Struthio camelus: one gene and its partner. The protein of the gene in region 1 interacts with the protein of each later gene in a pairwise test. Links are inferred from orthologs where the notes say so. Each region holds a gene or a part of one and is shown on either strand. Other genes may lie near its edges. The genes, in order: FLT1 and SHC2.

The links.
Region 2: the proteins of FLT1 (region 1) and SHC2 interact in a two-hybrid assay, tested with the Homo sapiens proteins (2 studies listed by BioGRID). The link is inferred for Struthio camelus from reciprocal best matches to the Homo sapiens genes FLT1 and SHC2.

The regions. Positions count from the first base shown.
Region 1 is NC_090942.1:200,285,006-200,292,912, forward strand, and holds the start of FLT1 (vascular endothelial growth factor receptor 1), read left to right. Parts: upstream 1-4,674; 5' UTR 4,675-4,688; coding exon 4,689-4,986; intron 4,987-7,907. UniProt on the Homo sapiens protein: Tyrosine-protein kinase that acts as a cell-surface receptor for VEGFA, VEGFB and PGF, and plays an essential role in the development of embryonic vasculature, the regulation of angiogenesis, cell survival, cell migration, macrophage function, chemotaxis, and cancer cell invasion.
Region 2 is NC_090967.1:7,690,740-7,698,277, reverse strand, and holds the start of SHC2 (SHC-transforming protein 2), read right to left. Parts: upstream 3,196-7,538; 5' UTR 3,190-3,195; coding exon 2,632-3,189; intron 1,827-2,631; coding exon 1,756-1,826; intron 1,048-1,755; coding exon 987-1,047; intron 829-986; coding exon 709-828; intron 624-708; coding exon 570-623; intron 484-569; coding exon 432-483; intron 282-431; coding exon 155-281; intron 58-154; coding exon 1-57. UniProt on the Homo sapiens protein: Signaling adapter that couples activated growth factor receptors to signaling pathway in neurons. Involved in the signal transduction pathways of neurotrophin-activated Trk receptors in cortical neurons.

The DNA of each region.
Region 1 (7,907 bases):
TTAACTCATTAGCTTCCTCACCTCCTAGTAAACTACTAGGAAAACCTGATTAATTGCTCATGCCAGTTGATTAACTGTAATAAGAAATAATGAGCATCAGTAAATTATGTGCTCCCGTGGCCTCTACCTTCTTGCTGTGGTTAGATAGCTGCCTTCTTTACCTACCCCTAAGGTCGACTTAGTTTTGACAGTGCTCTGAATAGTCATATCCTTCTGTGAATGATGGGCAGCAGTGCTGTGAGATTGTCCTAAAAGGACTGAATCTTTGTTGCAGCTTTTAGTTATCTTACTCCACACACTGACCCGGCACAGAGCAGAGAGGCTGTAGAGTGTAAAGTAAAGCTCAGTCTTGCTGAGGGAAAGCACAGTCACAACCATAGTTGATGTCTTTGCCTGTGCTTCTATGCATATGCCTCATATATGCATCTGAGCAAGTACAAGTGGTTGTCCCATTAAACACTGTAGTACAGAGAAGAGGTCTTTCAGCTTTCTCTTCTTACAGTGCCGGAGAAAGATAAGGAACTTTACTTTCATTTAAATGAAACTTTGAATGTAGTACGTCCCTGCTGTTCATCCATGATTAATCCAAATAACAAAAGCAGCTAAAATTGGGAAGATGACGGTAAATCAAATTGACTTGATAACATGCTTCTCAAATTCTGTCCCTGACTTAGGGAGACGGAACCAAAGGAAATTAAAATAATGGTGACTGAGAACACTTCATTGACAAGGGACAGGGGAAGAGAGTTACAGGAAGGTCTTGGGCACACCCAGTCCATCTCGCCTAGGATATTGCTGCAGGCTTCAATTTCCCCAGGAGCTGGATGAGTGTGAGACGCTCCAACACTCTTCCAGCTATCACAGTTCACTGTGTCTCCCTTTGTGTGGCTGTGTTGTAAACCATACTAATGAAATTATTCAGGTTGAAAATGGCCCTCCATAAAAACTGGGCCAGTGAAATCCCGGGTTGTTTCACCAAACTGTTTTACACAGAGCTCTGAAAACAGTTGTGCCAGTGCAAAAGAGCAGCAGTGAACTGTAGTGTGGGGAGGAAGGGTGGACAAGGAGCACTGGATCCTTGCCTGCCAGCTCTGCCACTGAAAAAAATGTAATTTTTTTGGATGATTAACTGAGATATGCCTTTGCTTAAATTTTAGCTCCTGGGAGCACCCAGTCCTCTGTTAAGAAGTCAATTGGTAGATGCAGATTCTGCAGAAGACCTGCAGAGGGAGATCCAATCTACTTTGCTTTGATATCTTTCCCTCTCTCCCAACAGTGGGAAACCTGGGAATGTCTAGCAGGCAATCTAGCCTGCTGTTGTGAGGTGTGTACCTCTGTGCCATGAGCACAGGGGATCAACAGAAATCATTAGGTCCTTCAGTTCTCACTCCAATCCACGTAGTCTTTTCCTGAGGACAGGCTACTGCTGGTGCAGATGCTGGTAATAACGTTTTGTGTAATGCTCTGAACACTGGAACTGGTATCTCATGGAGCTAATTTTGAGCATCAGTGCAAATAAAAAAATTGCTACCATGACTGGAAAGAGTCAGGTCAGGCTGGGAGGGTATCAGCTGCTGGTATGAGTGGGATTTTCCAGGCTCTTTATTTTTTGCCACGTCCACGGGAACTGTCCAAGCTATTCCTCCCAGGAGACTTGGCTAAAACCTTAACTCAGGATGTGCCAGGTGTCCTGCTTCTAGCAGGGAATAGGATCCACAACCTCAGGATGTGTCCTAGTGACTTGACTAAGTCATATCCGGGTTGAGACGTCTCTCCACCCCACCTTGCTCTTGGGTGGTGTCTGTTTCTTTATAACATGTGCGTCTATTGCACAAGGCAGACCCAGGAAATGGGCTTGACCCCTTCCTCAGATGAATGCCCTAATTACTTGCCTTTTCAGTCAAATGTCCTATTGCTCGCTTTCTGTGGTGTTCCAATGAGTCTTGAAGGCCAGGGAGGGGGAAAGGATGCATATTGAAGAATTAGTGCTTTTGCTATCTGATAACTTATTTATCTTAGGGCTAGATGTATGGGTTGTTCAACCAAAAGGCTTGGCAGAATCATCTTACTCTAAAGCAGGGTAACATTCATGAACAATACAACGTACTGCTGGGCTGCAAGTGAACCCTTAAAACTGATGTCTACTGTGAGGGCTATTTCTTCTCCATCTTTTGCAGCTTCTATAGCGCTGGAGATTGAGCAGACAATCAGCCTTGCAGGAAAGATGTTTGTCTGCTATGTTTCAAAGAGGGCTTACTCTCAGCTGTTAAATTTGGCAGGTTTTCTTTCTAGCATTTGGTAATAATTTTTTTAGCAAATGTTAGAGAAAGGAGATTTCCCACTTTTCACAGCCAAAGGAAACATAATGCCCAAGGATAAGACTTGTCTGCACATATGCTACCTATTACTTAGTGCCAAACCTGAGCCTAAGATTCTGGTGTCAAGAGATCATATTGCCTGCAAGATGTACATTTGCCTGGAATGGGTCTATGGTTGGCCCATCAGCATTTGTATGGCCACAGCACCTAAGGCACTCTTCAAAATTAGCTCCCATCCGAGTAGCTATTGCAAGTTATGTCATAGTAGATACAAATAAGATCTTTCAAATAAGTTCCATGCTGCCTTCTCCTTCACCATACACTGTCCATCTGTCCAGATGCTTCAGCCTCTATGTTTAGAAACATAGATGTAGGTAGATGTGCCTTTCATCTACCTCCAGGCATATGCTTCCTATGGTGTTTTCATTCTGCCTTCTGAGAATATCTGCTGCCTCATTCTTGTCTGTATCTCCCTAAGGGGGTCTTTTTAATCTTCTTGCAGGCTCCACTGGCTTTAGTATATGAACTGGATTGAAGGGTTATGAACAGATCTTCAGGTCTGCCCTTCCTGTTCCTCAGTCCCTTGGGTGGATCAGGAGCTGATGACATCCGTTAGAGAAGGAAGGTGGTAAGTCTTGCCAAAGTGTTGTGGTCTTTGGAGGGCCATGACCAAATGCAGCTGCGGTGTAGGAGGTGTGAACAGGGTGGGAGCTGGTGTGGCATAGCTGCAGAGCTCATGATGGGGCCTGCATCATCACAGACTCAGCATGTACTCAGCACTGAGAAGGTCAAGGGCAGGGACAGAGAGTTCCCTTAGCTCCTTCCACAGGGAGCCCTTGCTCTTAGGGGGTCTGAGCTGTCAGGATGCCCATGGTCCTAATTCTGGTTAATCTATCCTCACTGGCTGACTGTTTTCCCAGTTGCTGTCCTCTCCACTGGAGGAGGTGATTTCTTATGAGTCATCCTCTTCAGGAAAGAAATTTTGGGGCTCTTCCCCCCATGGTGTAAGCAGATGAGGGGGAAGGTACCCATAACTATTTTATTTTCAAGGTCTCAGTTGGAGGCAGGATGATTGGAAAATATAAGCTTAAATTCTTAGCTTAGGGTGTCACTTATGAATAGGAATCTGACAGAAGCCTGCAGGAAATATTCTCACCAACTTTAAACTTGAAAGTTAAACAGTCCTCAAGTTAAAAACAACACCAACTTCTCATCTTTTTTCTTGCACAGGATGGTCTGGTGGGACACAGGAGATCTGAGTTCTATTTCTAGCTTCTGTCACCCGCTTCCTATGACCTTGGACTGGCTGCCTAACCTCTTTATGCGCCTCCATTTCCTCCTCTGTGAAATGGGGATAATCACATTTACCTGCCTCATGCAGAGACTCTTGAGACTTATTTCATAACATAAAAACATAGGAAGGGCCATACTGGGTCAGACCAAAGACCTCCTTCGCCCAATAGCCCATCTCTGGCTACAAAAGGGAGAAAGTGGAAACACATAGTGTAGGTTTTGTTGTCATGGGCTCCCTCTGGTCTCTCACAAAATAAAACAATCATGGAAAGCGTAAGGTAAATGCATGAGGAGGAGAAATACATTTCCAGCTTAGTCCTGGAAGTCATAGGGTCGATGAAGGCCGCCAACAGCACTGGGCACACTCCTGGAACATCTTTAGCCCGTGCTGCCTCTTTGCTGCCCAGAGTGCTCCATGCTGCTTGCTGGGGACCCCGTGCTGACCCTCTGGGGGGAAGGTGGGGAGAGCAGCCCCGGGCACCTGGCAGGGCTGTTCCCGGGGTGCTGCGGGTGCACGGGGTGCTGCCAGGCTCCCCGAGCGCCCTGTCCGACAGCACGGGAAAAGGTGGGAGTGCCGGTCTCACCTGGCCCTAACTCCACGCTCCTCACCACGGGAAGCACCGCTGGCTCTTTGCGGTGCAGGAGGCCGGCGCTGCGGCACGGGACGCCCCTAGCACTTCTGCGGGGAACCCGTCTGGTCTGGAGGCACGAGTGTGTTGCGCGCCTTGCCGGGCGGAGCCGGTCGGCCCCGTCCTACACCGCGGCGCCGACGGGGGCGGTGAGCCCCTCCGGGACCCCATCCCGGTGCGGGGCAGCCGCTGGGAAGTCCCCAGCGCCGGGCCGGGCGGGGCCGGGCGGCGGCGGCGGCGGGAGGGCACGGCCGGCTGGAGCCGGGCGCTGCGTCGGGGGCGGCGCGGGGCCGGGAGGGCTGCGGGAGCGCCCCGTGCCTGCCGTGGGGCGGGCGGGGGGTCCCGTGACGCGTCCCGGGGAGGGCGGAGGATGTGGGCCGGGGGTGGGGGTGCGCGGTGAGGGGTGGAGAAGTTATAAATCAGCGGGGCGGCGGCTGGCTGGTAATTGATGTCGGCGGGAGGTGAAGCAGGCAGGGCGGCCGGCTGCGGACACTCCCTTTTCCGCGGGCAGGGGCGGGCGGGGAGGGCTCGGGGGCTGCTGGATGCTGGTCCCGCGCCGCGCTGCACCGTTATCTCCGCCGCCGCGGGAGGAGCCCCGGACGGAGGAGAGCCCGTCGGAGCCCAGCCGGCGCCTCTGCCTCGCTGCCGTCGGCAGGGGAAGAGCCCTGCGCTCCCCGCGGGCAGGACCATGCCCTGCCAGCTGCTCTCTGGGACCGTGCTGCTGGGGGCCGCCCTGCTGCTCGCAGGTAAGGCCCCTGCCCCGTCGCGGGGCTGCCGCCCCCCGGACCCGAGCCCCGCTGCCCCTTGCCCATCCTGCTCCCCCCACACACCCCCGCGGGGATCTCCGCGACGCGGCCCCACCGGCTCCCTCCTCGGCGGGGTCCCGCACCCTCCCCGGCCGCCGCTTCCCACCTGCCTCCCCTCGGCACCCGGCGGCTCCCCAGAGCCCCCGGCGGGGGGGAGGCGACGGCCATCGCGGCTCCTCAGAGAGTCGGGAAAGGCCGGATCCCGAGGGGGCTTCACCCTCCGGCTCCCGGCCGCCTGCCCTGGGGCAACAGCGGGAGGCGGCTGGAGAGAGGCGCGCCGGGGCGCCGGCGGGTGCGGAGCCTCCGCGCCTCTCCCGGGCAGCCAGCGGTGCCGGCGGGGAGCCGAGCGGCCGCGGGGGGCCCGACCAGCCCCAGGCGTTGTCCCAACCGGTGCGACAGCATCACGGAAAGAAAACAGGTCTAGGCTCCAGGGCAGGCTTTTTTTCTTCCCCTCTTTGTTTCGAAGTGTCAGCCTCTCCCGGTTCTACCCGTTAAGTAGGAAAGGAAGGTTACCCATTTCCTTCGCAAAACACACATCCTCGTGGCCGCCCCCGGGCAGGACCGCACGTCCGCGGAGCACCGGCCGGCGCTGCCTGCGCGTTAAGGGTGGCCGCGCTGGAGCTGCCTAGCGCGGACGCGCGCGGAGAGCGGGAGGGCGCTGCTCGCCGGCGCTGGCCTCGCGCAAGGCTGCGCGGTGCCGGGATAGAGGAGCGCACAGATTTGTTCCTCCTAATGGAGTTACATTTTACTTTGGGAGAGGAGCTTGCCCTGCTAGGCCGGTGCGCCGTGAGCTGGAGCGTGTGCCCGCATGGCATTGCTGCTCGCCGGGGAGCAGGGCTGCGTGGGGCCGGGCACGGTGCCGGTCCCGCGGGAGCTCCTCGCTGCCGGTCTGCGGAGCTCCCCGAGGGGCAGGTCTGCGGCCCCGGCAGCCTCCGCGGGCAGGCGCGCAGCATGGTCTGGCCTGACCGAGCTTGGGGCGAGGGCAAATCCCGCCGGGAGAGTGGGAAAACTGAGCTCTCCGCGGCCGTCACCGAGGCCAGTGACCGCGCAGCGCGGCGTCTCTGTGGTCAGGGCTGCGGCCACCCGACCTGCGGCGCTCCCCCTCACAAGTGGCCGAGGGCTCGGGCTGCTCCTCCGCGAGTGCCCGCGGGAGCGGCCCCTGCGTGGCGCGGAGCGGAGTGATGCCCGCGGGAGGGGCCCCTGCGCGGAGCGGCGCGGAGCGGAGTGATGCCCGCGGGAGCGGCCCCTGCGCGGAGCGGCGCGGAGCGGAGTGATGCCCGCGGGAGCGGCCCCTGCGAGGCGCGGCGCGGCGCTCCTCGGCGGCTGCCGGTGCTGCCGGCCGACAGCAGCCGCGTCCCGGGGCTGCCCGGGGTGACCGCGAGCAGGGGCTGCTCTGAGGAGACGTTTTCCTACTCGGGAAAGGCTGATTCATCAATTTATATATATATATGTATGTGTGTATATATATTTGTTTGTGTGTATGTGTGTCTGTGTGTACATACATTTTCCCCCCCGGGAAAGTGCTATTTTTCCCGTATTATTTATCCCTGCCAAGGAGGTTCTCATACCCAGGATGAAGTAGGCACAGGCACGGGACGCCTGCCCTCGGTACAGGAAATGTTAGTTCAGATCCTTACTAGGCTTCCTTCAGAGCATGGGCTTGAACTCCAGTGTCCGGCTCCCACATGTGCTCCTGAAGTGACCAGCTACTCTGGGGCACTGGCTTCCTCTTTCCTGTTGGAAAGGTTTCCCGTTGTGCAAATCATGACAAACCACTGCCCAAAGAGAAGATGAACTCTGTGATCCAAGGGCTGTGAGAGACTGGATCACTTTCCTGTTCCCCGTGCTACCCAGGGATATATACACCTTAGAACAGCTCCAGTGGGAAAAGCTAAGCTTGCTTAGTGGAAAAGCTGGTGCTCTGGGCACTGGACTACCATGAGGTACATCCTGGGACTGGCTCAGGCGCAATAGGTGCTGGAAGAGTGCTTTGTTGTAGTTTGACTGAGTACCTTTGCAACCTCTTTGCTGGCAATTCCCTCCCTTCCCCCCAAGTATGATAAGTTAAGGTCCAAATCAAGATTAGGACTTTCTTGAAATTGTTCATCTTGTTACAATTTGTTTTGCTGAAAAGGAAATTGTCCCTTGCACAGCTTTGTCTAGGCATTCCAGATAGGTTGATCGTGCCTCTTCTGAGTCAGCAGTAAAACTCTCCGTACTTGCATTTGCACCTGGCATTTTAAAATTACGGGTGAAGTGGCGGGATGTTTTATACCATGCATAGATACTCACAATACTTCTCTTTCCATGTCATCCTCCTACACTGCTTGTTTGTCTAAAACTGTTACTCAGGCTGGTCAGCGCTTCCCCTTTCAAGTGTTCTTGATGAAACTCGATTCATCACTGCCGTGCGGTCCCCTGCTGTGGTTTAATCTCGAAGGGCATCTGCTCAGCTCCCATTGACCAACAGGTACTGGAGTACATTCACAGAAAAAGTCAGTAGTTCAGGAGTTACTGCAGACAGTTTCATAGGGAAGGGACAGAAGGAAGTCTTTTAGCTTGTATATGTCTAAATTTAAATCTCCCCAAAGCAGTATGCAAACTGCAAGCCACGAGACTTCCCATTTCAAAATGAGATTAAGGAAATCATATTTCTTTGACTTGTGAGTGCTGGGAACTTTAGTCCTCTGATATTTCTATGCATATGCATATTTTGTGTTCTCCGCTGTGATGTGGGAAGGAACAATATTTTTGTATCTGTTCTGCATAGTGTTTGGATACATTTGCTTTATAGTTTGTATATATTTAGTCCACAAATTATATCGAATACATTTATGCTAAAGCCTGTATACATAAAGGTC
Region 2 (7,538 bases), on another chromosome or scaffold:
TGCTCGGCGGCGGCGTCCTCGTCGTCCCGCCACGCCGGCTCCTCCGCCGCCAGCGCCCTGCGCGGGGACGCACGGGGACGGGCGCACCCTGCCCCGTCCGACCCCCGCGCCCGTCCCGGCGGAGCCGGTGCCGGTGCCGGTGCCGGTGCCCTACCTGTCCGCGGGCGCCGCCGCCCGGGGCGGGCTGTGCAGGTACTGCTTGAAGCGCAGCTCGAAGGCCTGGCCCACCGTGCTGATGACGCTCTGCGCCAGCCCCTCGCAGCACTCCAGGATGTGGCAGGCTGCGGACGGACGGACGGGCGGACGGACGGAGGGACGGAGGCTCGGCCGCCCCCCTCCGCCGCGTCCCCCGCTCCGGCCCCGGCCCCCGGCTCAGCCCTCCTGCCCGCGCCCCCTCCCCGCCGCCCCGCGGGCTCCCGGGCGAGCGTCACCTCTCTGGTTGATGGGGTCCTTGGCGACGTAGGCCACGTAGTCGGTGGTGTCCTGGGGGCACGGAGGGGCGGTCAGGGCCGGGGCCGCCTCCGGAGCGCCGCGGGGCGCCCACCCCGCGCCTCGGCCCCGCTCCTCACCGCGTCCCCGCCGGAGGCGAAGGAGATGGACTGCATGTGGTGGTGGGCGACGATCTGCGGGGAGACGCGGCCCGGAGCGGGGTGAGCGCGGGGCCCCCCCGCCGCCGCCCGGCCGCCGCCTGGCCGCCGCTCCGCTCACCTGCCGCGTGCTGGGGATGCTGAGGTTGAGGCCGTCGACGGAGATGTTGACGGCGATGCTCATGCCGGCGAAGCGGAGGTTGCTCTTGCCCAGGATGGAGAAGAGCGCCTTGTTGGGGGCCTGGGGGCGACGGGGCGGCGCTGGGCTGAGCAGCCCCCCGGCCGGGTTTCTCGGGGCCAAGGAGGGCAGCGAGGCGCCGGGCACGGGGCGACCCGCGGGGAGGACCCCCGGCCCGGCTCGGCCCCGGGAAGCAGCCGCCGGCCGGGCTGGGAACTCACCTTCTTCTTCCAGATGCCCTTCACGCCCGGCACCGCCTCGTACAGTCTGTTGATGGCTTCCCTGCGAGCGCCGCGCCAGGGGGTCACGGCTGCACAGCCCCGGCCCCCCCGGCCCCCCGGTCCCCTGGGCACGGCCAGCCGCAGCCCCCCCCCCCGCCGTCCCCAATGTCACCGCTGCCGCGGGTGAATAATCCCGGCCGGAGCCGCCTCCCTTCTCCTCTTTCTGCTATCGATCGGCAGCAGGTGCCCTTCGCCGCGCCGCTCCCACGTCCCCAGCCCAGCACAAGGGTCCCCGATCGTGGCCCCGTCCCCGGCACAGCATGGGGGACCCCGTCCCCAGCACAGCACAAGGGTCCCTGACCACAGCCCCGGCCCTGGCACAGCAAAAGGGTCCCCGACTGTGGCCTCATCACCAGCATGGCACGGGGGTCCACAACCATGGCCTTGTCCCCAGCACAGTGCAGGGGTCCCTGTTCCCATCCCCAGCACAGTGCAGGGGCACCCAACCGTGGCCTCATCCCTGGCATGCCGCAGGGGTCCCCATCCCCATCTCTGGCACGGCACAGGGGTCCCCAACCATGGCATCATCACCAGCATGGTGCAGGGGTCCCCATCCCCATCCCCATCCCCATCCCCATCCCCATCCCCATCTCCATCCCCATCTCCATCTCCATCCTGGCGCAGGGTCCCCGACCGCGGCCCCGTCCCCCACCTCCCCGCAGGGAGGGAAGCCACTGCCGGGGCCGGCGGGGCGCGGGGCCCTCCCTACCTGGTGACCTGCGTGCGGGTGTTGAAGTCCAGGGACCGCATGGAGCGCAGCACCTCGATGCAGCCCATGTACTGCGGGGCGGCAGGAGGGGAGGGTGCTCAGAGCGGCCACCGGCGCGAAGGAGGGGAGCCGGGGCGGCGAGGGGGCGTCCCGAGACCCCGCGCCGGGGCTCGCCCCGATGCGCAGACGCCCAGCGGGGAGGCTCCGTCGCGCCCCCGAACCCGCGCTGAGACCCGGCACGCTCGTCTGCCTGCGAGGGGCTGGCTCCGGCCACGTCCCAGAGCTGCTCCCCCGGGCCGGGGAGCCCCCAGCCGGCCCAGCCGCCCTCCCCGCCGTGTGCCAGTGGCTTCACAGAGCTCGGCCGCCACGTGACGGGGAGAAAGGGCTGCGCGGATGGCGCCCGCCGCCGTGCCACCGGGCCTGCCCGCCCCGAGCATCGCCCCAGCCCGCAGCCGGCTGCCGCCTGCAGCGCCCGCGCGGGGCCACCCGCCCAGTCACCCTGCCGGCCAGCTCCCCTGCAGGCACGGCCCTTTGGCTGGAGGGAAACTGAGGCACGGCGGGGCCGTGGGGCAGGTGCGTCCTGGCAGAGCATCCCTGGGCTCTGCCTCGCTCCCCGGCCCCGAGCGTCCGCCCGGCCCCGAGCCGCGTGCAGGCTGGGCTGGTTCGGAGCCAGGCGCGTGGCCGCAGCACGGTGCAGCCTGCCAGCAGCCTTCGGCCCCGGAAACCATCGCCGCGGCCCCTGCGCCAAGCATGGAGCCCCCAGGAGGCTGGCGCGGAGCTCCCCAGCCGGGCAGCACCCGGTCCTGGGGCAACGGCACCGCTTGGCGCCGGGGGCTTCGCGCCTGCCCACCAGGACGCGGCCGCAGCCAGACTTACCCGGACGATGTAGGAGACGCCGGGTCCCAGCACCCGCTCGTCGGGATGGAGCCAGCCCTGCGCCGGCTTGCTGATGAAGCTGCCCTTGCGGGTCCACTCGTCGCCGGCCAGCTTGGCCCCCTCGACGCGGGCGGCCTTCCTGGCGGCCCCAGCCCCGCCGCGCAGCCGGCTCATCACCTGCAGCGAGCAGGGCGCCGAGCAGACGGGCTCGCAGGCGCTCAGCACGGCGGCCAGGCTGGAGGGGGGCCCCCCCGGCTCCGCGGGGCCCCCCGCCTTGGCCGGCGAGGAGAGCTCCTTGCTGGAGCCCGAAGGGCTGCGGCTGAGGAAGCCCGTGGGGCCGGGGAACTTCCACTGGGGCATCCTGGGGATGAGCATGCAGAAGGTGGTGACGGCCTCCTGCTCCTCGCCGAGCGGGGGACACGGGTGGGCCAGGGCCGGGGCCGCGCCGGCGGGCGAGGGGGCCGGCGACGGCATGGGGGCGGCCGGCGGGTGGCGCGGGGCGGCCGCGGCCGTCAGCGTGTCGTTGCGAAAGCGGTCATACTTGGGCTCCGGGAGCATGCCCCGCGCTGCGGCCGTGCCTCTGGAGCGGCTGCCTGGCGCGGCGCGCGCTGGCGGCGCGGCTGCCCGCGCCGGCCCCCACCCCCTGCCCGCTCCCCCGGGGCTGGCGGCGCGGTGATGTCATGGTGTGAGTGCTCGCCGGCCGGCAGGCTGCGCGCCCAAGGCCGCCCCGCGAGCATCCCTCCCACCCCGCGCGTCCCTCCCGCCCTGTGCGCGTCCCTCCCGCCCCATCAGCATCCCTCCAGCCGCGCAGCATCCCTCCCGCCCCATCAGCATCCCTCCAGCCGTGCAGCATCCCTCCCGCCCCATCAGCATCCCTCCAGCCGTGCAGCATCCCTCCTGCTTCATCAGCATCCCTCTGGCCCCACACACATCCCTCTAGCCCCACAAGCATCCCTCTAGCCATGCAAGTGTCCCTCCCGCCCCATCAGCATCCCTCCAGCCGTGCAGCATCCCTCCCGCCCCATCAGCATCCCTCCAGCCGTGCAGCATCCCTCCTGCTCTATCAGCATCCCTCCAGCCGTGCAGCATCCCTCCTGCCCCATCAGCATTCCTCCAGCCATGCAGCATCCCTCCTGCTTCATCAGCATCCCTCTGGCCCCACACACATCCCTCTAGCCCCACAAGCATCCCTCTAGCCATGCAAGTGTCCCTCCCACCCCATCAGCATCCCTCCAGCCGTGCAGCATCCCTCCCGCCCCATCAGCATCCCTCCAGCCGTGCAGCATCCCTCCCGCCCCATCAGCATTCCTCCAGCCATGCAGCATCCCTCCTGCTTCATCAGCATCCCTCTGGCCCCACACACATCCCTCTAGCCCCACAAGCATCCCTCTAGCCATGCAAGTGTCCCTCCCACCCCATCAGCATCCCTCCAGCCGTGCAGCATCCCTCCCGCCCCATCAGCATCTCTTCAGCTGTGCAGCATCCCTCCCGCCCCATCAGCATCCCTCCAGCCGTGCAGCATCCCTCCCGCCCCATCAGCATCCCTCCAGCCCCATCAGCATCCCTCTGACCCCATGAGCATCCCTCTGGCCCTGTGAGCATCCCTCCCACCCCACGCACATCCCTCCTGCCCCATCAGCATCCCTCTGGCCCCACGAGCATCCGTTAAGCTGTGCAAGCATCCCTCCCACCCCACGCACATGCCTTTGGCACCACACGCATCCCTCCTGCCATGCAAGCATCCTTCCTGGCCCATGAGCATCCCTCCAGCCCCACTGCCCCCTGAGCCCTTGACTCTGCAGGGAAGGGGCGACAGAGCCCCAGGGAAGGGCAGAAACAGTCCCTGCACCGGATCCCTTCTGAGGAGGGCAGGGGACATGCCTCGACCCCCGAAGCTGGGAGATGGAGGCCAGCGGGGTTTTCCCTGCACGGCCTGGGGTACCCGTGCTGTCCCGGCAGAGCCCCAGGCACGGCCTTGCAGCCCCCCAGGCCTCGGGGGTGCCCCGCCACGTCCGCACACCCTCCGCATGCACAGCCCCATGGGGACAGAGCTGCACGGCGCTGCCTGCCCCGCGCCCCGCTCCCAGCCAGCTCGCCGCGGCCATGGCCGAGCGGAGCCCCTGGCCGGGGCCGGCCGCTGCCCCACGGTGCCCGGCTTTGCAGCAGGTGCTGCAGGGTTAACGGGCTCGGAGCCTCCCGGGTGACGTGGAGCCGGGGAGAGCTACTGCCTGCCCGCTGGGAGCCATAAAGCGTGATGCATGGTCTCCTCTGCAGCTCCCGCTTGCAATTAGCTTGAGTGGCGAGGAGGCAGCTCCTGAAGGGCCAGCAGCCCCCAGCCCCTGCCCTCTCCTGCGCCTGGGATGTTTTCTCCTCTTTTCCGTGTCTCCAGCATCGGGAAATGTTTGCAGGGAGCCTGGGGCTGGCTTTGCAAGGCTCCGCCGCGCAGTGGGGCTGGCCTATTTCTCTGCCTCCCAACCCAGTGGTCTCGTTCACGCCGAGTTTGTCTGCCTCCAAAGCCAGGCCTGTCTCTTGCATGTTTATATCTGTCTGGAGGGCGCTGCCGGTAAAAAGCACAATCATTTTCTTGCTTCTCTGCCAGTATCTGCAGCAAGCAAAGAAAAAACCTTGCAGGGACTTTCTGAGCTCAGAACAATCCCGCTAACGCTCTCCCTCTCCAGACCTGGGGCTGTCTCTTTTTTCCAGGGGTGGAAAGGACTCCGGCCTCCTGTCGAGCCCAGGCCATGCCGCCCGAGCCCCCACCAGCGGCTCGGGGAGGTCCGGGCTGTGCCCCCTGCAGCCCCATGCCCAGAGCGGAGCTGGTCCCACCGGAGCTGCCGGCAGCCGCGTGGGCAGGGGTGGGCGCCAGCCCCGCCAGTGTGAGGCGACGGGATGTTGCAGCCCCACGGGGCAGTCGTGCCCCCTCGCAGCCCACCCCGCTCCCCGGTATTCCCTCTGCCGTGTCGGGCAGCGCGGCCACCGGCGTCCTGCCTCCTCCGTGCCGGCTCCCGCGCCCGGCAGGTGAGGGGGGGGACGCCAGTAATTGCTCTAAGTGCAATCAATAAATCACGGTAATAGAATTACATTTGCTATTGCCGTATTAGGAACCGCTTCTCTTCTCCCAGCCTCTCGCTGCTCTCCTCGGTTTTGTTTTTAAACAGCCGCAAAGCCCCGGGTTGGGCTCCTCGGTGCTGCCGTCGCGGCGCCAGCCGGGATGGGGGTGAGCGGCCGGTCCCCGCGCCGCGCTCGCCCCACGTCCCGCTGCCCCGCGGCGCTGCGAGCCGCTCTCCTCCCTTGCACCAGTCCCCGGGGGCCAAGGGATTATTTTCATCTCGTTCGCAGCCGGTCTCAGACTCTGGACGCTTAGCTGCACGTCGACGGCTTTCCCCTGCCTGTTTTTAACCACGACCTAAAGGAAAGCCCGCGAGAGCGAAGCCCGGGGGGCAGCGGGGCGCGCGGCAGCCCCCGCGGCCGGGCCGAGCGGGGCCGGGCGATCCCCCCTCCCCGGGAGCCCGCGCTTCTGCTGCAGCGCGGGGCGATTCCCGGGGCCGCTGGACTGCACCCCGGCTCTCCCCGGCGGTGGGCGATTTGCATAACCGTTCTGAACCGTGCTAATTAATCTCCTTACACCTCTGGCGCTGCACGAGGGGAATCGACATCAAGTGCTCTCAAGCCCACGAAGGATTAATTAGGAGAGGAGAGCAGGCGCGTGCACGGCCGAGCACACGTGTGACGAGCTGTCAGTGCTGAGCTCCCGGGACCAGGCGGCCTCGAGCCCTCCTGCCCCACGGCATGGCCGCCTCTTTCTCCAAATTTCTCCCCCTGGCAGCCAGGCTGGGAGGGAAAAGGCCTCGAACCCTCCCGGGAGGCATCGGGCTGCAGCCACCCCGACCGAAGGTGGCCGAGAGGGGACGGATGCAGCCGGCTGCCGCCGAGCGGGGCTGCGGGGGCGACGGTCCGGGCGAGGAGCCCCGTGCCAGCACGCTCCCCTCTGCTCCCGCAGCCGCGGCCCCGCTGGGGCCGGGTGCCAGCGCCTCTCCCCAGCCCCCCCGGCAGCCACTCTCGCCGCTGCCTCGGCCTCGGCCACCCCGGCGGGGCGGGAGGCAGACGCGCGGGGGCCACAGCGTGCTGCCGCTTTATTTATTGCAGGTCCCCGGGCTGCAAAGGGGAACCCAGCCCGGCCCGTCGGCCGGCGAAGGCCAGCAGGCGCGATGCATCGCCGAGCAGGCGGCCGGCGATGGCAGCCCCGCTGCGCCCGCTGCTCCCCGCTCCCGCGGCCAGGGGCCATCCCAGCGCGAGGATGCCCGCGGGGAGCCCGGGCTCGCTCCTGCCGGTCCAGGGCCTCGGGGCCGCGACGGTACAAGCTGGCGGGGAGCTGGCGAGGGGCCGGGAGACGGTGGCGCCGGGGCTGGAGGGCCGGTGGGGGCCGCAGCAGCCCCCCAGGCGGCGGGCTGGGGCCGGGGTTCAGCCCCGCGGGTGCCCGCACCGCACCACCGGCCTCAGCCCCAGGCGGCTCTCAAAGGAGCTGGACGGAGCTGGGGGGCCGGGGTGGCTCGGGGCGCAGCAGGGCCGGGACCCCCCGCTCCAGCCCCCCGCGAGCCCCGGGTGCCCCGAGGGCCACGCTGCCCTGCAAACGCCGCCCTCCCTCCTTTGCGACCCGCTCCGAGCGCGGGGCGGAGGAGCGCCCGAGCTCGGAGCCTGTACGAAAGCCGGGAAAAGCCGCTCCCGCAGCCCCCGGGGCCGCAGGAGCCCGGCGCCGCCGCCGGCCGGGCCAGACCCGCAAGGGGAGGTGGGCTGGGGACGGGAGGACGGGCAGCTTGTCCTGCGCGGGGCTGAGCAGGGAAGAAAGGTGTATCGATTGTAATTACGAATGCTCTGCATTTCGAGGACAATGCGCTCTGGCTTTTTAG